Linked DNA regions of Nothobranchius furzeri. Each later gene encodes a partner of the first gene's protein in a complex. Links are inferred from orthologs where the notes say so. Each region holds a gene or a part of one and is shown in the gene's direction. Other genes may lie near its edges.

Evidence for each region.
Region 2: gtf2f1 (region 1) and gtf2h5 share a complex: the UniProt entries of both Homo sapiens proteins name them as parts of the TBP-based Pol II pre-initiation complex. The link is inferred for Nothobranchius furzeri from reciprocal best matches to the Homo sapiens genes GTF2F1 and GTF2H5.
Region 3: the proteins of gtf2f1 (region 1) and ctdp1 are in contact, whole or in part, in an NMR structure (PDB 1ONV), measured with the Homo sapiens proteins. The link is inferred for Nothobranchius furzeri from reciprocal best matches to the Homo sapiens genes GTF2F1 and CTDP1. Residues at the interface, in NP_002087.2 of Homo sapiens: Thr470, Lys471, Leu474, Gln478, Ser486, Thr489, Val490, Leu493, Ala494, Leu497, Lys498, Leu500, Asn501, Pro502, Arg504, Met511, Phe513; in NP_004706.3 of Homo sapiens: Ala946, Asp947, Met949, Ala950, Lys951, Ala952, Leu953, Glu954, Glu956, Leu957, Asp959, Leu960, Met961.
Region 4: gtf2f1 (region 1) and polr2l share a complex: the UniProt entries of both Homo sapiens proteins name them as parts of the TBP-based Pol II pre-initiation complex. The link is inferred for Nothobranchius furzeri from reciprocal best matches to the Homo sapiens genes GTF2F1 and POLR2L.

Annotation. Positions count from the first base shown.
Region 1 is NC_091752.1:52,157,738-52,163,653, reverse strand, and holds the end of gtf2f1 (general transcription factor IIF subunit 1), read left to right. Parts: coding exon 1-91; intron 92-178; coding exon 179-326; intron 327-1,292; coding exon 1,293-1,348; intron 1,349-1,425; coding exon 1,426-1,557; intron 1,558-2,212; coding exon 2,213-2,283; intron 2,284-3,330; coding exon 3,331-3,472; intron 3,473-3,603; coding exon 3,604-3,736; intron 3,737-3,852; coding exon 3,853-4,057; 3' UTR 4,058-4,259; downstream 4,260-5,916. UniProt on the Homo sapiens protein: TFIIF is a general transcription initiation factor that binds to RNA polymerase II and helps to recruit it to the initiation complex in collaboration with TFIIB. It promotes transcription elongation.
Region 2 is NC_091742.1:2,692,835-2,697,646, reverse strand, and holds gtf2h5 (general transcription factor IIH subunit 5), read left to right. Parts: upstream 1-2,641; 5' UTR 2,642-2,781; intron 2,782-2,972; 5' UTR 2,973-2,997; coding exon 2,998-3,032; intron 3,033-3,130; coding exon 3,131-3,311; 3' UTR 3,312-3,446; downstream 3,447-4,812. Other genes in the region: protein SERAC1, read left to right, coding at 79-220, 350-450, 682-779, 928-1,110, 1,195-1,338, 1,453-1,589. UniProt on the Homo sapiens protein: Component of the general transcription and DNA repair factor IIH (TFIIH) core complex, which is involved in general and transcription-coupled nucleotide excision repair (NER) of damaged DNA and, when complexed to CAK, in RNA transcription by RNA polymerase II.
Region 3 is NC_091751.1:1,630,541-1,636,590, forward strand, and holds the start of ctdp1 (RNA polymerase II subunit A C-terminal domain phosphatase), read left to right. Parts: upstream 1-2,262; 5' UTR 2,263-2,471; coding exon 2,472-2,767; intron 2,768-3,657; coding exon 3,658-3,741; intron 3,742-5,807; coding exon 5,808-5,901; intron 5,902-6,050. Other genes in the region: adck5 (uncharacterized aarF domain-containing protein kinase 5), read right to left, coding at 1,529-1,552. UniProt on the Homo sapiens protein: Processively dephosphorylates 'Ser-2' and 'Ser-5' of the heptad repeats YSPTSPS in the C-terminal domain of the largest RNA polymerase II subunit. This promotes the activity of RNA polymerase II.
Region 4 is NC_091749.1:62,789,975-62,795,064, forward strand, and holds polr2l (DNA-directed RNA polymerases I, II, and III subunit RPABC5), read left to right. Parts: upstream 1-2,275; 5' UTR 2,276-2,414; intron 2,415-2,796; 5' UTR 2,797-2,806; coding exon 2,807-2,901; intron 2,902-3,170; coding exon 3,171-3,279; 3' UTR 3,280-3,412; downstream 3,413-5,090. Other genes in the region: cleavage and polyadenylation specificity factor subunit 7, read right to left, coding at 4,149-4,383, 4,468-4,612. UniProt on the Homo sapiens protein: DNA-dependent RNA polymerase catalyzes the transcription of DNA into RNA using the four ribonucleoside triphosphates as substrates.

The DNA of each region.
Region 1 (5,916 bases):
GGCGGTGGGAGAGGCGGCGACCTGCTCATTCACGATCTGGAAGACGACCTGGAGATGAGCAGTGATGACAGTGACAGCAGCGTAGGAGAAGGTACAGAGAAGAAAACAGGATGTGGTGTAATTATGATTTTCACATCTTTACTTTTCTAAACTTGAAACATTTTTTTAAACGTGTCAGACGGTGCGAGCAAAGCAAAAACGAAGAAGGCCGCGGGGAAATCGAAAACAAAGAAGAAGCAAAAGGGTGGTGAAAAAGACGCCCTTGAAGACAGTGATGATGGCGATTACGAGGGTCTGGAAGTGGATTATATGTCAGATGAAAGCAGGTGAGATCTTATTACCCTACCACCCCCTCCCCGTTTACCCCATTCCCTTATTAGCTTTAGTTCATGCTAGCATGTTAGCTATGTACTCATGTCCTAGTACTATCCTGCATGTTTTAGATGTTTCTCTGCTCCAGCTTATCAGATTTAGTGTTTGGATTTATTACTTATCATGTCCTACAGAGGTCTGATTCTAGTCAGGTGTTTTAAAGGTACAACATGTTAGAATATTACAGTGAAATAATCACAAAACAGGCTAATGTCTCAATCCTGTCTGAAGGAAAGCTGCACTGAAACATGTCAGATGTGAAGAGGGACATAGTCATCGTTTACAATCTGTCCCGCCGTCATACTTCCTGGTTGCAGAGCCAATCATATGTGAACCTGTAGAGTTGCAAATCTGCCAACGATGCTACACCAGCATTTGTAATTCGACACTAGCAGACAAAAAGCTCCAAAGTTGTGTTGAGAACCAAAGCCAGTTAACAGGAGCAACCCAGAAGTTATTTCTTGTACCCTTAAGAAGCCACAGCATCTTTTTGCTTTACTCTAATATTGGGGGAAAAAAAGGCTAGACGCTAACGTTGAGCTAACAATGCTAACGATGAAATTGACCTACTTGATATTACAGTTAAATGTATTTACCTACTTATCAACTTACTGCATTCGACTCGTCTTAACTCCTCATCTAGAATCTTCTGGTGCTGATCCGTGGCTGACGACAGCTGTTCAGAGCGGACATGTTTGTTATGAAACATGCTGTTCCCGCATGTGACCACAGAATGCTGTTGCTACTTTATGCACTTTAAGTAGAGAAAAGTCTCAAACTTCCACTATTTTCTGGTACAACTATCATTTATGACACAGTGTCATTAGAGATGCACTGATTTTGATAACAAGGCTTGTGTGTGTGTGTGTCTTTCTTTTAGAAATGGTTGTGTGTTCATGTGTTATTTTCTTTCCCAACAGCCCAGATGAAGACCAAGTTAACGAGAAACCCACCAGAGAGGAAGAGCATCCTAAAGGTTGGTGTGAGACGATACTGGTATTCTCCTGCAGGAGTTTTGTTTGTTTCTCATTGAAGTAATTTGTCTGTTTGCAGGAATCGATGAGGAATCAGAGAGCGAGGAAGAGAGCGAAGAGGAGAAGAAGAATGAAGAAGAAGCAAAGGAGGAGGAAGAGGAGGAGGAAGGGAAGAAAACCCCTGTTCAGGTGGAAAAGAAGAAGAAGAAAGGTATGAACTTCACGAGTGATGTTACGACCCCTCCTGTCTGAAAGGAGTAACTCAGAAAATTAAAATAAAAGGAATGCACCAAGGTCTTAGCAACAATTTGATGTTTGTTATAACAAAGGTTCACTCAAAGTAGAAGAGGCACTGCAGTATAACAGACAAAGCAAGTCTCCTGTATCCAATATTAATTGTGACATTTAACCCACTGGGAGAAAACTATCTCAACTCATTAACTAAACACACATGCTGGATAAACGCACAGCAGAACTGGTGGAAAACTGGGTTAAACACTGAAGGGGAACTAAATCTAAAGAAACTGTTGTCTTAAAGACATCAATTAACTAAGCGATCTCTATACTACGAGTTATTCTAATAACAGACAAGCCACAACCAAGGGGATGACGGAGAAGATCTGTGCCCCCTTTTAAAGGCTTGAGCTGTCTAGATGCAGATTCCTGCAGCAGCGTGTCGCTCTCCCTGGTGCTGAAAGTGGAGGCTGGAACTGAGCTGGAGAGGAGAGTGGCAGCTTGCAGGTGCTGTGCAAGGTTCTGACTCAGGAGAAACTTACAGGAGCTGTAGCAAATTACAATTTCTTTTGGGTTTAGATTTTAAAGATGGCTGAGTTCCGGGGTCAATTATTTCTTTTTGTTCGTGACAGACAGCAGCGGCGAATCAGACAGCTCCGATGACAGCGACATCGAGGGAGAGACGGCCTCTGCTCTGTTCATGGTGTGTGTGTGTGTGTGTGTGTGTGTGTGTGTGTGTGTGTGTGTGTGTGTGTGTGTGTGTGTGTGTGGGAAAGAGTTCTGCTTTAAATTACAGCTCAGTTAGTCATTCATTGACACATTATGACCTAGGGGTGGGAAATTTAACCTGTTTTTTATGCATCGCGATCGAGACAAAGATTCTGACTGCATTTTAAAATGTAAAAAATGATGTTAATTGTAATAATAAGAGCGGGTAGGAACATATAACCCCAGTTTAACACTAGAAGCATCAGCAGCACGAAACGGTTTACTTGCAAACTTCAATGCGGTCCTCTTCACACGGGGAGAGTCTTGGCCGTGGTACGTCTTCCTTCCTGTGCTCCTCGCTGGACTCGCGGGATCACAAAATCTCTCGAGATTTCAAAGATCACGGTTTGTTTATGCAATCTGCCATTAAACCAAAAAGAAAAAAATCACATTTGATATCGCTGTTTGATGTCATATATGATGTTTTTCTCTCCATAGTCAGGATTAAAGCCATGAAAACACACCGCTGCACTTCTGGAACGATACTGGGAGTAAATAAGACGTTGGGTCACACGTAAGCTTCATATATATGACATTGCATCGTTTCAGTACTTTTATTTTGAAAATTACCCGGGATTTTACACTGAAACCATGTGTGATTTCCTGTCTAGCCTTATGTTCACTGCGGGAATTGACGCATCCCAGAAGCGGCTCGTGGCAAAAATAGAAACCAATCTTTAGCGGCGCAGCGTGCCGCTTCTGGGACGCTCCTGAAAATTGTCGCATCGTGGCTGGTTTCAAACACTCCATAGACAAAAGATTTTATTTGAAGCAGTGACGTTCCGCGCCTCTGATGCTTTCAGTGTGAAACCGGTGTAAGACGGGACATAAATCTGGGTCATAATGGAACCACGAGGAGCTGATAGATTCCCACCCCCTACTACTTAAGTCGAGTGTTTGAGTCTAAATGAAGTTGTGAATATTTCTTTTTTTTGCTGCATATTTGCTTTCATTTTTATTATTTTTAAATTGCTCTTTGCAGAAGAAGCGAACTCCTCCTAAGCGTGCAGGCGGTCGTGGCTCTGCAGGAAGCTCTAGGACAGGAAGTCGTCCTGGAACTCCATCAATCGACTCCGCCTCCACCTCCAACACTCTGCGGGCTGCTGCTAGCAAGCTGGAGCAAGGTGTGTGTGCCTGTAGATTAGCACAAATACGGAAATCGGTCACAAATACCATGTCAACGATGAGAATAATTTATTTTCTTTGATCCTTAAGGGAGGATTTGTGTTTAATTAAATCTCTCTCTCTCCTGTAGGGAAGAGGCAGGGAGCTGCTGCAGACTCCCCAGCTGCTAAAAGGCTAAAGATGGAGCCCAGCACTCAGAGTCCTGTTCCCTCTGGGAAGAGCACACCCCAGCCCCCATCAGGCAAATCCACCCCCAGCTCAAGGTAAGTACCATCAGAAAACAGAAAGAAATAAATCCGTTTATTAGGCTTAAATCAAAATCTAAAACTCTGCAAACTGCTAAAAAACCCTGACTTTATTTATTTATCCCCCGCTACAGTGACGTCCAGCTAACGGAGGACGCGGTCCGCCGCTACCTGATCCGTAAACCGATGACCACGAAGGACCTGCTGAAGAAGTTCCAGACTAAACGGACGGGTCTGAGCAGTGAGCAGACGGTCAACGTGCTGGCTCAGATTTTGAAGCGCCTCAATCCAGAGCGCAAAAATGTCAACGACAAAATGCATTTCTACCTTACAGAGTGAGCAGGTGGGTGGTGCAGCAGAGGAGGGGTGGGGTCTGGAGGGAAGTTTGATGCAGCAGGACTTGAGCTGTGCAGAAACGCCAGCGGCTCTGAACGTATTCTGTTCAACATGTTGAGTTTGTTTAGTCTGAACTTTTGCTGAGTGACAGTTTAAGAGTCGAAATAAAAATCTTAGAGCTTCTTTCAAAATGAAAGGAAACATCTTTAGCTTGTTTTTCTTGAGTTGGAACTTTTATAATGAAATTGAAACCCTGAAAAGTGATTTCCTCTTGCTCTTCTGTCACATTCAGCATCTCTGCACATTAAAGCAGAAATTCTCAGAGAGCACCATCTAGAGGTGGAAAAATGTATCGCATCTTAAGCCCCTCTCCCACGCCATGTTCGTGAACACGCACCTCTAGCCAACCAACAGCTAAAACACATTTTTCTAAGATTATTCTCCTGTAAAGCTGTTTATTCATATTTTTATATTTTAAATACTCACCCACAAGAAATGTTACCAACTCTGCATCAGTCTGCAAACGCTCAGTGATGCAGGTTAAGTACAGATGTGACATCTGTATATAAGAGGATGCCTAATGCTATTGACTAATGAGCAGTCATCATTTCAAATCGCACAAGGCTCTACAGACTCTTAAAAATTGACACATGACCTACATTATCATACAACCGGGTAAGACGATCACTTTTATGTGTTTCTAAAGAGCCATCCATCATTCCTGAAAGGGTAACACTGGATTGCTGAATTCAAGTAAAATGAAAATAAATGAGCATTGAAAAAACAGTTTTTATAAGTTTTTTTATTTTTACATTTGGCAACAAACCAGCATAACTCATCTGGCTTTCTTTATAAAAGCAGGTATTCTCTTAGAGCTCATTTATATTTATGTAGACGAGCTGTGCATCAGTGCTTTTTATCATCGTTGGATTTTGTTTTGGTGACTCATCAGCTCTAACACACTCGGCACAATTACATATGTTACGGCCGGAGCAGTTTGTTTCTTCTGTGTGTTTCCTTTCTTCTGTTTTCATCCTCTCTTGTGCAAAGAGGAGCAACTCTGCAGCACCACTCTCCTCCTGGCTCCGCCCTGAAGCGCCCAGCTGAGGGGAATCCGAATCAGTGGCGGATTCAAGTAGCTTTCCGGAGTTTTCTACTTTCAGAAATCTGTAAATGTGATTATCTTATCATGTGCTGTGATAAAATGTAAGCAATACATCTTTATTTATGTTTTATTTTTTTGCTAAGCACGCCTCCTGCCCCGCAGAGCTCTGTGCAATAGGAAACTGAGCACTGACCAGAACTAACCAATAGCGTTAGACTATCGCTTAGATGCTTCAAATTTAAGGAATACCTCGGCTGATGCAGAGTTGATGAACTTTTCATCAACAAGTAAGTCTCTAAAATGTAAATATATGAAAACGGCATGACATGAGAATAAAACTTGTAAAATAACGTGTTTTAGCTAGGGATGCACCGATGGATCGGCATTTGATCGTAATCGGCCGATAGCGCCCCTATCGGTTTTCAAAATAGATCAAAGCAAACCGATCAGGTAGGGTTGTCACGGTAACCAGTGTATCGGTAAACCCCGGTAAAAAAAAAAGTTGACAATAATAACCGTCTTGTTTTAAAAAAAACTATATTATCTTGGTGGGTTTACCGTGGCTGCGCTGTAGGCGCGGTGACCCTTACCAGCCACCGTATCATCGGCTGAAGTTGACGGCGGCAGATGCACGCTTTGTTTACAATAAAACTTTCTTGAAGCTAAAGCTGAAATAATGGTCAAAGGAGGAGACGGCAGTGCTCAGGAGGACATTTATTATCCCTCAAAGAAGACGAAGTATTTGAAGAATGCCGAG
Region 2 (4,812 bases), on another chromosome or scaffold:
ATTCTCTAGATTTCAAAGCTTTATTCTTCTTCTTCAGTAGAACGCAACACTTAGCTTTGACATTGTGTTCATTTCCAGCCAGCCAATCAAAGCAGACGTGCTGTTTATTCATGGGATTCTAGGAGCAGCTTTTAAGACATGGAGGCAGAAGGACCGCAGTACGTTAGAGGAAGAGAGGGACGCTAAAGGCAGCGATGACTATACAGAGTGTTGGCCAAAGGTAACAGATCCTCAGAATTCTTAGAGCTGCACAAGAAACCAAATATGATCTTTTTTGGACAGATTTTGATGTTTCCTGAGGAAATACAAGCTTTAATTCTCATGTCTTTTTCTTCTTGGTTATCGGCAGTCATGGCTAGCTGCTGATTGCCCAAATTTGAGAGTGCTGTCAGTGGAGTATGACAGCCATCTGAGTGACTGGATGGCCAAGTGTCCAGCTGAGAATCAAAGGTGAAAATTTCTAGTTTATTCACTTATTTGTGGGGGAAAAACAAAACAAAAAAATGGCTAAATAGGAATTGAATCTAACTTTGTCCAGCAATTATCTTATTCTGCATAATTTATCCTACATCCTTACCTTTTATATCGTCATATTAAGTAAATTAAGTTACAATTTCATGTGATTTTTTTAGTAAACCCAGTCGATTGAGTGGAGGATTAGTTGTCTGTTTGTCTTTCCAGGAAGTCGTTGGCCTACAGAAGTCGAGAGCTGCTAAATAAGTTAAAGCTGGCAGGAGTTGGAGAGAGGCCTGTGGTTTGGGTAGCTCACAGTATGGGAGGTACTCTGTCTGTGCTGCCTTTACCACAAACTTGTCAGACTTTTACCCAGATTTCTGCAACAATCTCTTGATCACATTTCTGGCTATGTGCGACTGTTTCAGGAAAAATAATCAATCTGTGCTCTCTGGGATGTGACTCTCCTCTTAGGACTGCTGGTGAAGAAAATGCTGTTGGATGCTGCGGACGACCCAGACTTGCAGGGATTGATAAAGAACACTAAGGGAATAATGTTCTATAGTGTTCCTCACCGTGGCACCTTAATGGCAGAGTACTCTGTGAATGTCAGATACCTTCTATTTCCTTCTATAGAAGTCAGAGAACTCTGCAAAGGTGAGGGCTGTGATCATTCCTTCTAAAATGGCTTGAATTAAATAGTTTGTTGTCTGCAATGAGTCGATGTCTGTGTGTTCAAAGACTCCCCAGCTCTGCGTAACCTGAATGAGGGTTTTCTGAAAATTGCCAAAGAAAATGAAATCAAAGTGCTGAGCTTTGCAGAGACGTTGCCCACAAATATTGGTCCTATGATTAAGATATTTGTGGTCCCAACTCAGTCAGCAGGTATGTAAGATACAGTGGGGAAAAGTCAATGAGCTATACTTTTGATAAAATAATAAAAATCTGTCATCCAGTTTCTTACCTTCTCTTTTTGAGTAATCTCTCGTTTTGTTCCAGATCTGGGCATCGGAGAGCTCATTCAGGTGGATGTGGATCACCTGAACATCTGCAAACCAGAGAAGAAGGACTCGTTTCTCTACAGACGCAGCCTCCAGTTCATCCAGGAAGCACTCCAGAGATACACAAGCCAATAAAAGACATACAAGCACATCAGTAGTGACATTAAATTGTTTACTTGAAGTTTGAGGAACACTGAGTCCTTCCACCAACAAACTCAAAACCCCAAACCTCTTTTTGTACACGTTTACAACCATAATGTGAGATGTTAACAATCATAATGCAGACACATTTATTTCACACACTTACTAACTGTGATAGATAAACCCGAACCTCTGATTTGTTATCTTTTTACATTTTCCTCCCTTATGTTTTCATTTTTACCGGTCAAAGTCATGTTTCGAGTAAACTCATATTATGAGAAGTACCACCATCTTTCCATTTTAGACCTTGCAGCCACAACAAATATATATTTACTTAAAGATGCATTTTTAAAAACTGCTTCTATGTAGTTTTGATCAGAGTAATGGTTGAAATGTTATTTTTGTATTCATTCATTCTACTGAAACGTGTTGTTTTTTGTGCCAAATGGATTATTTGCCAAGCCTTTTTTAAAATGGCCCTGATTTAATATATTAGGTCAACTCTATTAATTTTATTACATTAATTATGCATCACAATGGGCCAACATATACTAGAAATGAGAATAAATCAAATGAATGAGTACATTTGTTGAGTTTGACTTGTCTATGCATTCATTAAATGATGTATTAAAATACTGAATACAACAGAATTGTTAAATGGAAATCGTTTGGTGTTTATTTTCTAACTTAATCTGACAAAAAGTAATTTAACAAGCATCCATTGCAAAATAGTTAAAAACAAATGTACATGTGCAATACTCACACACACATGCATACGTACGCATGTATACATATGTATGTATGCATGTACATACACGTACACGTTTGTTCAGAAATCTTGCATTATAGATCACTTGGTGGAATTGGGCTGGGAGTAAAGCACAGGAGCGTCAAATATTTTTAATAACAATTTTTCAAAAATCACAGTGAAATCGTTATAATATAAGCAGATAATTACGTGAAATGTACCAGATAGCGTGGAAGAACATGTTAAACGGAAGTGGCAAAAATGCGCATCCTTCAATGCTATAGTGGTAGAGGAAGATTGTCCCTGGTTGCTCGCCGTAGATCTTACCTCAATGCTACGGAACTTAGCTTAAAAAGCAGCTGCTGTTGGGTCTGAACGAGTAGTTTTACACGATTTCTTACCAACTTTAGTGTTCTCCCGAACATTGTGGTTGTTGTGGTAAGTTTTAATTAGAACGTTTTGCTTAAAAGTGTTGCAAAATACGTTGTTAGCTTGTTATTTTTAGCTTGTTTACTATTTCTCATGAATTTTCTCTGTACATTAACTGTCCGGTATGAATATGTGTTGTATATGCATACAGTATTTATGTTACTGTCGCAACATTTTTGCACGTTTTGTTTATTTTGCAGACTTTAATCAACTACACCTGTCATCATGGTGAATGTTCACAAGGGTGTTCTTGTTGAATGGTAAGGAACTTCAGAGTGAAGAAAACTGTAAAATTACTTTCTTCTGTAGAAAACTCCTACAATTATAATGTCTTTTTCCTCTCCATGTTCTGTTTCAGTGATCCTGCTATGAAACAGTTTCTCCTCTACCTAGATGAAACCATGGCTTTAGGAAAGAAGTTCATCATCAAGGATCTTGACGACACACACGTTTTTATCCTGGCAGAGGTGGTCCAGACTCTTCAGGAGAGAGTTGGGGAGTTAATGGACCAGAATTCATTCCCCATCACGCAAAAATAACCCTCAGATCTTTGACTTTCCTCTCATGGACTACTCAATTTGTTGTTGTTTGCTTTTGCTTAATAAAATGAGACATGTAAATGTTTTGGTTTGATAAAAGTGGAAGTGATCAATTGGATAAAAAGTTTCTATTTTTGTGGAGTTCTTTTTCACTTGTAGATGGGGAACAAAAATAATCTATTAAAAGTACTTGTTAATTCACACCATAATTTAACCAAATCAGATTTTTCATTTAATCTAGTTCCGATAGAAAAATAGAAAATCCCTTTATCCACAGTGGAGAAATTTGGGTTAAAGGAATATATGTACATATCTAGAATGGCATGCCAGCCTAGCAATTACATTCATGGCAGGAGCAAAATGAGAAAAATATGATAAACAAAACCTCACAGTTACCTAAGGCATTTGAAGAGGTACATTACAACAGAGTAATTATTGTGAGAAAATAATTCAATTGTTGTTTTTATGATATCAGGGATTCAATTAGTGCTTTCAGATAGAAACCAGAGAAGAAATTGACATTTCTCACAAATCTCATAACGTTAATGAAATACTGAGATAATGAGTTTTCCCTGTTTAAAATGTTTTGCCACCTTCAGTTTGTTCTATTGATGAATGAAATGACAGAGATACAGTTATAATTGTGAAAAGTCTAACACTAGACAGTGTCCCTAATGTTATGTTAGGTGGACAGAAACTGCAAATGTACTTTTAACATGTCTGAGGATAGAAATTTTATAAACGAGCAAATTCTACATCCGAGCATTTCAGTAATGTAACACAGTTGTTTCCTCCAGTGGTTAAATGACCATCGGACTGTCAGAGAGCAGCATGGAATGACAGAAAGAACAAGAAATATAAAGACAGCAGTGGTTCAACACAAAGCATTACATTGTTTGTGGAATGGTTTTGCAGGCTCTGGGACCTGATGATACCTGGACCCTACAAAGGTAGTACAGGTAGTCCTACTTCACCAGGATGACACATCTATATGTTCCATTGCCAGAAGGTTTGATGCATCACCCAGCACAGTCTCAAGAGTGGGGAGTACATTTTTGGAGGAGAGCAGTAACTCTCAAAGAGCTAAACAGGGCTGTTGAAGATCATTCACCCATCAGCAGGACCTGTATCTGTGGAAGGAGGAACAAGACGAGTACAGCCAGGTTTTTCAGTTTAAAGTTTTTGGTAACTTTTAATTACCAACTGTCTAGGTTGCTATTGTGCATTTTTTTCTTTCCTTCTAAGTACGATCTTATGTGTTGTCATGTAATTTTTATTATCTGTCAACTAAAGTGGCACAGTAGGTCTTTAAATTAATTTCTGTGGAAATAAATTGGAAACTCGACTACTTTCTTCTACAATCTGCTCTTTAACTGTATTATTTTCTGCTATTTCAGCTGTTAACTTTATTTTTTCTCTCCCCAGAAGAAGCTACAATGATGTTCTGCTGAGCTGTGGTAGCCTCATGTGGTAGCCATCGGCCTGAAAACTGCTGCTAACC
Region 3 (6,050 bases), on another chromosome or scaffold:
CCTTTGTAACCCAGCAACACACAGGTAAGCTGATAGTGAGAAAAGATCAGATTAGTAGGTTTGGAACAGGGATTCAAGCATGTGTGCATGTTTATATACTGAGAGGGATGGGAATGGAGTCCCATCAAGGCCAGTCCGGTGTTGTTTTTGTACGCTGACTCAACACGGGACAAAATGTCTTTACTGCTGACAAATTGATTTACAGATAACGGGGGGTGCCAGTGACCTCCACATCAAAGGTGGTTTTCTGTCGGTCCAGTGACACCCTCGCAGGGTGGCCAGAGGGGGCCATGGCCACCCCTAGAAAACTGTTGGCCACCCAATTATGTTTTAGTTAAAATGTATTTAAATGTTATTAAATTCTATAACAATTAAATTGGAAACAATAATTAAAATAACAGCATAAATTGTCTTTTTTTCTAAAATGTTTCTATTTCTCGGATTTTAGGTAAAAGTGTTTTTAATGAGAGAAATTGAAGGCACAGAGCAATGCGCAGCTACAGGCTAAAGCCTGATTCATGCTTCTCCGTCAGAGCGGAGACACGCAACACCATTATCCGTCCTCGCGGGCCTGCCGGAGAGCTCCGCAAGGACGGACAGAGTCTAGCTCTCTTTTCTAAACATCCATCCGTCGAGACGGACAACGCAAGCTTGTGATTGGTCAGGACGCCGCTGTTGTCTACACCGCCGCCACTGCGCCCTCAAAAACATAAAGAGAGCCGAGCGGCAGAAGCGGAGCAGCTTGAAGAATACCTCGCAAAAAAAAACCTAAAAATATGAACGTTTAATCCCCCGTGACTGGAGGAGTGAAAAGATGCGCAGCAAGCGTTTTATTTGTGGATGGAAATGACAGGAAACGTGGGTTTCGAGGTGGCGAGCGCATGAAGAGGTGGAGGAGAATGAGAGACAAATATGTCCGTGTTAAAAAGTCTCTTATATACAAAAAACACAATATAAACACACTATCTTGGACCGATACATGACAGGATACCACAGAACAGCGCTACGCCCTCTGCTGTCCTGGCGGGGAAGTGCATTGCAACGCTCCACAGGAGACGGAGAACATCTCCGTGCGTGTCTCTCCCTGTTGGAGCTGATGGAGAAGCATGAATCAGGCTTAAATCCTCCATTATTTACCACAGGAACAAATTTGGTGCCATCTCAAATTTTGCACTGGCTCCCCTCGAAGAAAACTTTCTAGGAGCGCCACTGCGTCAGGCACACATTTAGACCCTTGAGGACCACAGATGTACTGGACCAATCAGGAGCTCAGAGTAACGAAGAGACAGTTTTTGTTTAGTTGCCAAACTGAGATGGAACTTCAAACAACAGATGTTTTAATGCAGTGAAATATGAATAAATAAATATATTAAGTTGAATTAAATGACTATCAACTTGCACATCTAGCTTTACTAGTTGCATAGCTTGATGATAGCTAATAATCGTTAGCTGTTAGTCAACAGGTTAATATCAATGACTATCTTTGCCAAAACGATCTAGACATAGATTCAGATTTTTGTTTATTTACCACTCCAGAAGTCCCCCATGTCATGCTTCCCTCTGATAATATTAACACCCTGCTCACAGCCGTGAATTCTTGTCAAAGAGGTCGCCAGCAGTCTGAGAACCTTCTTCAGCTAACACTAGCATGACTTTTGGTCAGAAGACTGGAGTGCAAGAGAAACCGCACCCACCCACTTCCGTTTTCGTCTTCTTATTTAAAAATAAAATCGTGGAATCCGCTGAGTCCAATATGAGTGCATGTCCTTATTTTATACAGTTGGTAAACACGCACAACTTTCTGTCATTTTGAATTGTAAACTGGAATAAAGTGCACAGAAGTAAGTTTGAAAGTCCAGTGTAATACACGGTTTTGAAGACCAAATGTGTGATCCATTGAATTTTATCAGCGCTTTTAATTTGAAGGGCAAGTAGAAAAGTGTCCCGTTCTTCCTGTCCGCCTGCTTACCGGTGTCATGTCGAAAAAAGCACCCTAGCCATGAAGCGTAAGATTTGACGTCAGTCCAAAATCTGCAAAGATTCTATTACTGTGTGCTTTTCAGTGTAAATACGATCATCTCACTTCTAAACAAAATTAAAATTACTCCCCGTAAAATGTGGTGTTTTAAAAATCGTATGTAAAAAATATGCAACACAACCTGATTGACATCAAACTTTCATTCAAATGTTATTTTCAAACCTTTTCCCTGACCAGTGTGACAGGGATACACTTTTCGGCAAACCCCTAGCTTTGCGACGTGCGTCGCTGCAGTGTTGCGCTTTCCTGTTTACGGGCGGGAAGAGCGAACGAGACAGCAGCCACGGTGTTTAAATCTCCAGGACATTTGTTTTATTGATCAAACACGTGATTCGTTTGCTACATTGACACACTGGCCATCGCGAGGTGGGTTTGATACGTATAAAGTGGACTGGTGCAGAAAACGAAAGAGGTTCTGGAGACTGCAGGACAGATGGAGGATCCTCCTGCTGATTCTGGTGGCGGCGGCGGCGATGCTGCTGCGGAGGGCCCCGCAGTGCAGGTGGCAGATATGTGCTCTCCCAGCGGGGCTCTCCCTCTGCGGCTTCTAGAGTGGAAAGTCAAGCCCGGATCTCTGGTTAACGTGGACTCTGTGCTGGCACTGTGTGCTCCCATGCCTCGGGAGAAGGGGACGGGGGCTGCCAGGCTGCCCGAGAAGAAGGTGAAATCAGACCGTTCTGGAGTAGTGAAGGAGCTAGGTTGTCAAGTTGGACAAATCATTCCTCCAGGGTGAGTCGCTCTGTTTACTACAGCACACCCCTTCTAAGAAAATCTACAGCCAAACAAATAAAAAAAAGTTTTGAAAATACTTTTTTGAAAGCATCCCTGCTTGAACGTCAGTTAGCCAGTAGCTAACACGGCTAACTTGATTAGCATTGTTGCTAGTAAGTTAACCCTAAAACAACAGTTGTCTTGGAAGTAAGAGCGGAAGTTCGTATACGTCAGTCTCAGAATTGGTTTTAAACGTCGTATTGTGAATTTATCCAATATATTATGGAACATGTGTGGAAATAAAAGTGTGTGCGATCACCGCTGCTGTAAATTCAAAGCTGCGTTTTTCAAGAAGAGCAGGCGATACTTTTATTTTGAAAGCACCACCATGCTGGGCAGTGTTGTGGTGTGTTTGAGTCAACAATCAGATCAATATAGGAAGAAAACAACACGTTTGCACAGTGCTGTCAGGGACGTTTTCAGGTTTTAGACAGTCAGGAAACAGGAAAATCATTACCTCACTCTTCATTTACTGATATAAACCTGAAGTGATGTAATTATATTATTGCCTATTCTTGTGGCCTTCAGGTGCATTTTGTAAAATCCTACTTCAAACAAAAAAAAAACCATGCTGTTTTTTTATTTGCAAACATGACAGCTTGATACTAATCAGGATTTAACTCAGCCTTAATTGTACTACAATAAAAGTGTTGCCTTCATTGGATGAATCAGCTTTATTTAATTTAATTCTAATTACATAGCAGCACCAGTGTGTGTGTAGCCCATTTATTTGTAATAGTGTAAATAGAGACAAACATCTATATGAGCCACAATAGCTGAAATACGTGTTTAATAAACATGTGGGTGCTGTAATAATTGTTTTATTCTCTCACCATCTGTCTTTTTAGTGGTGTCATCGTCAGGATTGAACAGTGCAGCCATCCCATTGTCATGAAGGGCTTGTGCGCCGAGTGTGGCCAGGATCTTACTCAGTAAGGACACATTGACTCAGAATCTACTTGTTTTCAGCTGTTGCTCCTCCTTTCCCAGTTCCAGATGTGGATGGACATTGTTTCTGTTTAGTTATTGTTGGACACATGCTGATCATTTAAAAAAGTTGGTAAAATAGGCTGAATAAATGTCATGTTGCAGCGAGAGCAGTGTTTGGTACTAGGGCTGTCGCGGTAACCGCAAAAATGAAATATCGCGATATGAAGAAGCCCACCGCGCTGCATCATGCGCCACCGCGATTACTGAACTTGGTTCAACTCAATGATGCATGTTGAGAAGGATGGCTGCACTGGTATCAAAACGAAACGTTACTTCGCTCCTTTGGGAGCACTTTGGTTTTCAGTACGTCAGCTGCTGCGCAGCCAGAGTCCTTGGCCGAGACAGAGCTGCCACCAGCGGCAAAAATAAATAAATAAATAAATGCTCGGAGACCTGCTGAAGTCCCGGACAAGCACTGCTTCTGCAACCGTCCCGAAGAGAGTTGGAGCCGAGCTGGAGCTCACTCGCTACCTGCAGGAGGAATGCATCCACCCTAAAGAAACCCCCTGACATGGTGGAGCAACAACCGGGAGAGATTCCCTTTGCTCGCCAGAGTCGCACGCAAGTACGTGTGCGTTAGCGCAACGAGCGCACCATCCGAGAGGGTTTTCAGTGTTGCTGGAAATGTTGCCACCCCTCTCAGATCCTCTCTCAAACCGTAGTTAACATGCTGGTTTTCCTTGTAGGTAACAAGGACGTGGCCGAGCTATAAAGCACCGTCATTCGTGTGTGTGAAAGTGAAATGATAGTGCGCCCGCCCCCCGGCGCGCGCGCGTGCGCCCGGTACATGTAATTTTTTATGCTTGATTTTAAACAACTAAACAAAATGGGGACTTGTTTCTTATTTGTTAGATGCTGCAGCCAAATTTGCATTTAAAAGTTTAACCTTCTCCTGAATTTTGTTGTTTTTAAGTTCAGTCGGACTCCGACTGTCGGAGAAACAAACGTTACTGCGATCTGTGTTGTTACTGCCCTTTGATCTGCATTCAGTAAAGTGTTATTAAAGAAGGCACGGCAATTTTTAACCTTTTTTAAATGTGTAAACATTATGTTTAGATAGTACTGCAATAAAAAAGGGCTGCAATAATATCGCACACCGCAATATTAAGCCACCCTGAATCACCGCAGGAGGAATTCCTCAACCGCGACAGCCCTATTTGGTACTGGGTGTTGTTCTGTGTGGTGCCAGCGGGTGGCACCAGAGATCACACATGGATGTTAGGTGACTTTGATGCATTTCAAGGATGTTTATATAATTTCTGCAAGGTTAGCATGTTACATATATTTAACCAAAAACAAGACTCAACACCGAGTCGTCATATAATCTGATACATGGCTTTTGCTACGCTGGGTACAGCAAACACCCAGGTGGTAAGGGTTCATTCTTCCTCATCAGACAATAATGAGTAATAAAAACAACATATGAGGGGAAATTATGTTATGATACTGAATTGCCATTTAAAAGCAACGGATAGATTTTTTTTGAGAATTTACATGCAAACATTAACTATTTATTTTGTGTGGTGCATTTCAAACTCCGACTGCTAGGTGGCAGCAGTGTGTACCACCTTCATTCTGACGGAACAACCAGATCTCGCGATGACACGAGCTGTGTGTTGGAAGTGTGTGAACCGAGTTTTCCAGTTAAAATTTTGGGGGGTTCATTTACAATTAAACCTAATCGATCAATAATCAAAATAATGAAATCATAAAAGTCTCAACTGTTTTCAAACACGCTGCTGGTAGAACAAGAACAAAAGCTAAACCAGAAAAATGTGACGCTGCATGTATTTAATACAGAGACCTCAGCAGTGAGATAAAATGTCAGGGCATGCTTTTGTGGCTTAATGAGTCCACGTTGGGGGCTCTGGACGCTGAACTGCTGCAGGCATGAATGCATGCATTTGCATGTTTGTAATAAATCCTTTCAGTCACAATCTGCTGAAGGGTCTGAGAGATGCACAGAGGGCAGAACTCCTACTCTCTCTCTCTCTCTATCCCATCGTAGGCTCCAGGGAACAAACGGGAAGCAACAAGTTCCCATCTCCACAGCAACAGTCTCCATGGTTCACAGTGTCCCTGAACTGATGGTCAGCTCTGAGGTGAGTTATATGATGGAAGTGTGTGTGTGTGTGTGTGTGGCTTCATATAGCTTTATTAGAAAATTTCACTTGCCTGCAAATCTGTGAAAATTACAACATTAAACCAATAACACTCCAATATTATGTGAGGTTATATATATACATGTGTG
Region 4 (5,090 bases), on another chromosome or scaffold:
CATAGCAAAGGATTATGGATCTTTTGTTAAAAGAAACACCTGCACAGGTGGAATTAGATATATTGAGAATAAGTATGAGCATGGGTACAGGCAACAGCTGACCTTCACAGGGCTAATACTGGCCCAGTAATCAACAAGGCCACTACTAATAATGTGGACTAGAGCCTATTTGTGGCAAGAATTTGCAGATTTCCTCAACTTTCCATCATTTTCCAAGTGTGTCAAACTGACATTTGTCATTCTGGAAAGAAAAACCTTTTTATTCAGTTCTGTCACTCAGGAATAAATCAGTGTTCCTGGGTTGATTCTGTGGTGTCACTCGTTACATCTACATTGTACGTTGGTGGCAAAAAAATATGGTAAACCTTTGTATTGAGCAGGGGTCTGCAATCTACAGCTCTGGAGCCAAGTACGGCTCTTTGGAGCTTCCACAATTGCTCTTAATAATGTATTCTAAAAATGGTAAAATACTAATTTAAAAAAATATATATTAATATAATAATGCAGATTCAAGCTACTGTTCTGTATTTTCACAGAATCAATTGCATTCAATTTCCTCAACAGAATTACACTATTTTTATAACTTTCCTGATATACAGAATGATATTCATACAGTTTTTGCAAAAGTTTTATTTCATTTTTCCTAATTTAAAAACTTAATCAAATCCCATAGAGAAGATACTGATAGAAGATAAAACAAGAGTTGTGACTATAATCTAAAAACAAAAAAGTCAGAATCATGATTTCAACCTCAGAATTCTGATTAATTTTTAGACATTTCTCAAAAATTCATTGTCTGTTTTCTGAAAGCCCTGTAACAGTGTGGGAAACAGCTCTTTGGATAGTAAAGGTTGCAGACCTCTGGTGAAGAGTAACAAAGACAAACTCATTGGGTTTAAAATAAACCAAAACATTATTAAACACTGAAATATGACACGTTCTGGGACAAAAGAAGAAGTTGGTTTGCGTGTTTATTCTAACCTCTATATGGGTTTGAAAGCCCACAGCCAGTCAGCCACTAGAATTGAGTCAATTTTTATGCCACTCTGTGTGTTTTCAAAGTCACCCACCAAAAATATGTAATGAAAGCATTTATAATAGCATAAAAGTAGTACTCATACTTCACTGAAAGGGGGAAAAGAATTTGTTACTGCACAAACACACCTGTACAGTGGCTCACTAGCCTTTCAGCTTGCAACTGTAAAACTCATCCGGTTGTCTCTGTTTGGTAGAAAGGTAGTTTTGACAACCAGAATGTATAGCTTCACCATATTTTATACCCCCTAAAAAACTCATAAGAGCATATCACCATCACTAGACAGCTCCTCTGACATGTTCAAAAAGTAGTAAGTCAACACAAAAATAAATTTCACCTTACATTGTACAATACAGTGTACTCTTAAAAAACAAAAGAATATGAAAACTCCTATTTTCATAATTTCAACAGCGTATAAATGCAATAATTCAGGTAGGATTCCTCATTTAGCATATGTGCTGTAGCAAATGAAATTACATAGATGATGTATTACTGTATAATGTTACTGATGGTAATGATAATGACATTTATCATGCTGACTGTAAAGATGACTATGGTGGAAATAATATGTATGTTTTATATTTTAAATATTTTCTTTATGCACCCTCCTCTATGAGTCCAATCATTTAAATGTAAAATATGACAAATCTGAAATTCAATCTTATTAAAGGCAGTGAACCAGTCCTATAGTGAGCATTTCTTTTGTGGATTCATGTTAATATTAATTTGTGTAACTATCTGCATTGGATGAAGATTTTATTTTTGCATGGTACCACCTTCAAAAACATTAGTTTTAATCAACTAATTTAGCTCTTTTCCTTAACATTCTGTCAAGATGGTATATTGAATTGCAATTGCATTTATTAGTTATATCAAGGAAAATGTTAGAGTTTTTAAACTCCTTTATCTGTGGTTACATGGATATTAATACTTTTGCTTCAAAGTTGTTTGTTTTGTAAAAGGAAAAATACATTGTGAGGTGAGTGACTTGACATGTTAGCTAAGTTTGATGGGGAGTACTGCCATTTTTATACGCTCGTTTATGAAGTGAGCTGTGGTCATTATTCAGTAGCAATATTGTGATTCTAATGAATTGTTATTTCACTTTTGCACCACATTTATTAAAACCAAATAGACGAAGACGCTCACACGTTTTCCGTGTCAGTTTCCCCATTTTCGTTTTTTTTTTTTTGGGGGGGGGGGGGGGTCAATTTTGCAAATCACAGGAAACGCTCACCTCTTATTCCGCTTTTATTTTGGCGGATTTTACCCGGAAGTTGTTTTAACGACATAAGGAGTGAGAGAACGCCATCATTATCGTGCTGGAGTTACTTTTACCAAGAAAATAGTACATTCATCTGATCTACAGCCTCAAAAGGTGAAACATATGGTAAAACGTGATAAACTAATGACGTGTGTAAGTTCGTTTAGCGGAATAATTTCAACAGCAGCTAACGCTAGCTGGTGGGCTAGTTACGTAGCGGAATACAGCACTAACCATAAGATTTGATTTCAACCGTCTTTTTTAAGTAATTCGTTTTTGGACTATTGATTAATCCATCTGAAAAAAAAAACTAAATACGTGTTTGCTTTAATCGTTGCAGTGCTAGGTTTTGCTGCATTAACGTTAGCAAAACATGCTCACATGGTGGTCTTACTGCGGTGGTATGCGGAAACGTAAATGTAATTTAAGTTAAACGACTCAACTGTGATTGTTTTACATTGTTTTCAAACATTAACCGGGTTGACTTTTGTTGCAGGTATTTAACGATGATAATCCCTGTGAGGTGCTTCACTTGTGGGAAGATTGTGGGGAACAAATGGGAAGCGTACCTCGGTCTGTTGCAAGCGGAATACACAGAGGGGTGAGAAACAACCACGTCTAGCTTCACGTTTCATGATCTTTTTACGTCCGAAATTGTTCTGGCACGTGTTTGAGTAGCTTTTCTACAAAGGTAGAACATTTCAACATTTGGTCACAATGCAGGCAAGCTAAATAACATTTAAAAAGAAGATTGGGTTTAGATTTGTTTTTAAACCACAATGCCTTTCACCTTTCCTTATGGTTTTCAGCAGTGATTAAAACGTGTTTATGTAACATATCAGGACTGATTTTTGCCATCTCCCTCCCTAGTGATGCTCTTGACGCTCTTGGCTTGAAGAGGTACTGCTGTCGAAGGATGCTTCTTTCTCATGTGGATCTTATTGAGAAATTGCTGAATTATGCTCCGTTGGAAAAATGAATGTTGTGGACTTTGTAGCACCATTATCAGGGTGAATGTGTGTACTATGTAACCTTAAATTACGACCACAGAGAAGAATTTATGGAAACATTTTTCAATTACTGGATTTTTTAAAATAAAATGAATAACCTTGCTTTCTTTCGTCCATGCGTCTACATTTTATGTGGTTGGCAACGACTAGCTCTTCAGATCTTAGCTTTGGAAATTAATGGTTTTAATCGCATAGTTCATTTCATGAGATTGGAAAAATTGATGAATGATTAAATGTCTATTTCCTGTCAATGTGACATAATTTTACAGCTTTGTGTAGTTAGTTATAACAAAACACTGGAGGATTTTTTTTTATTTGTAGAATTTATACAAAAAAAAGAATGAAAACAAGTTATTAACAGGTGTTCACTACATGCATGTTGAAATTCTATAATACAAGAATGAATCTACACAACTTTTTCTTAAAACAAATCAGACATGGTGAATATAACTGATAAAAAGTAGGTTTCATACTTTCAAACATCCAATGTCTCAGCTTCAAAGAGTTTTGACATTTATCAACCTTGGTGCAAGAAAATGCTCATCTTTCCCCGGCAGGATTCTTCAGTCTGGGGAGAAAAGGGAACAAAACCAGAACAAAGTCAGAGTAAAAAAAATAAAGGGATGCCAATCTTTCGTGATTTCAGTTAATGCATTCATATTAAATTCAGACGTTAAAGAGCTGTATATTATCCTGATATTGTGTCTGACCTACAGTGAAGATTAGAATACAAATAACTGCTCATTTAAAATGTTTATAAAGGAAGAAATGCTCCCCTGACTCAATGTAATTTTTAGCATATATAACTTTTGTAGTTAAGTCTGTTTATCTTACCAGGTTAGTAGTATCGGTCTTTGTAATCTCGATGTCTTTCTCGCTCTCGTAAGCGCTCTTTGTCCCTGTCTCCACTCCAGGAATGTTCTCTATGTCTTCGAGACGTTCCCGCACCTTCCCTGCTGTAAGAGTCACTTCGGTCACGATCTCGGTATCGCTCTCTGTCACGATCTCTGTCGCGGTCGTGGTCTCTTTCACGACCTCTGTCCCGGTCTCTGTCTTTCTCTCTTGAACGCCTGCTAAAAAGAAAATCTTTAATTAGAAAAAAGCTTAACCCTCTAAGAAAGACAAGCACTCAAACCAAGTTTCCTAAATATACAAACCTGGTTTCACAGTTGCTTTGGATCGAGACTAAACAGTCTTTGAGTGAGGTGACCAAAGCTCGGCAGCGTTCATCCCCGTGCACTTTAGACTGCTTTATGATGGCAATCGCCGTTAATAGTGTCTCCATGGCCATCTGCTGCTCTCCTGCATTAGAAATTCAGGAAATAAGATCGTCTTTTAAAAAGCAGGTTCAGTGGGAAACAAATTTTTTTAACTTATTTTTGAAAATGATCAATGACTGAGTTTAACCATGAAAACAGTCTTCTACCCCTATTTCCTTCATTAGCTTTTGATAGACACTAGACGGAAACACACTCGGTTCAGAAAAGCCTGACAGATCTAGTCACACTGTCACTTAACATTCATGGACTCACCCATCTTGACTCGCGACGGGGAAATCTGTTGTTGGTTTACCGTCCAGGAAACGGCAGTGAACGTCTCGACTAGTAGATGCTAATGATTAGCATTAGCAACTCCACAACAGCAGAACTCCTTCAGACTTGTGTCATTTGTGGAGATAAATCAACGTTGCAAAGCAAATGTAGTCAGTGGTAGAGTCATGTTGCAGTTAGCCAATCCAAGGCAAGATATCCAAATATCAGGAAATAAAACTCTAAATCCT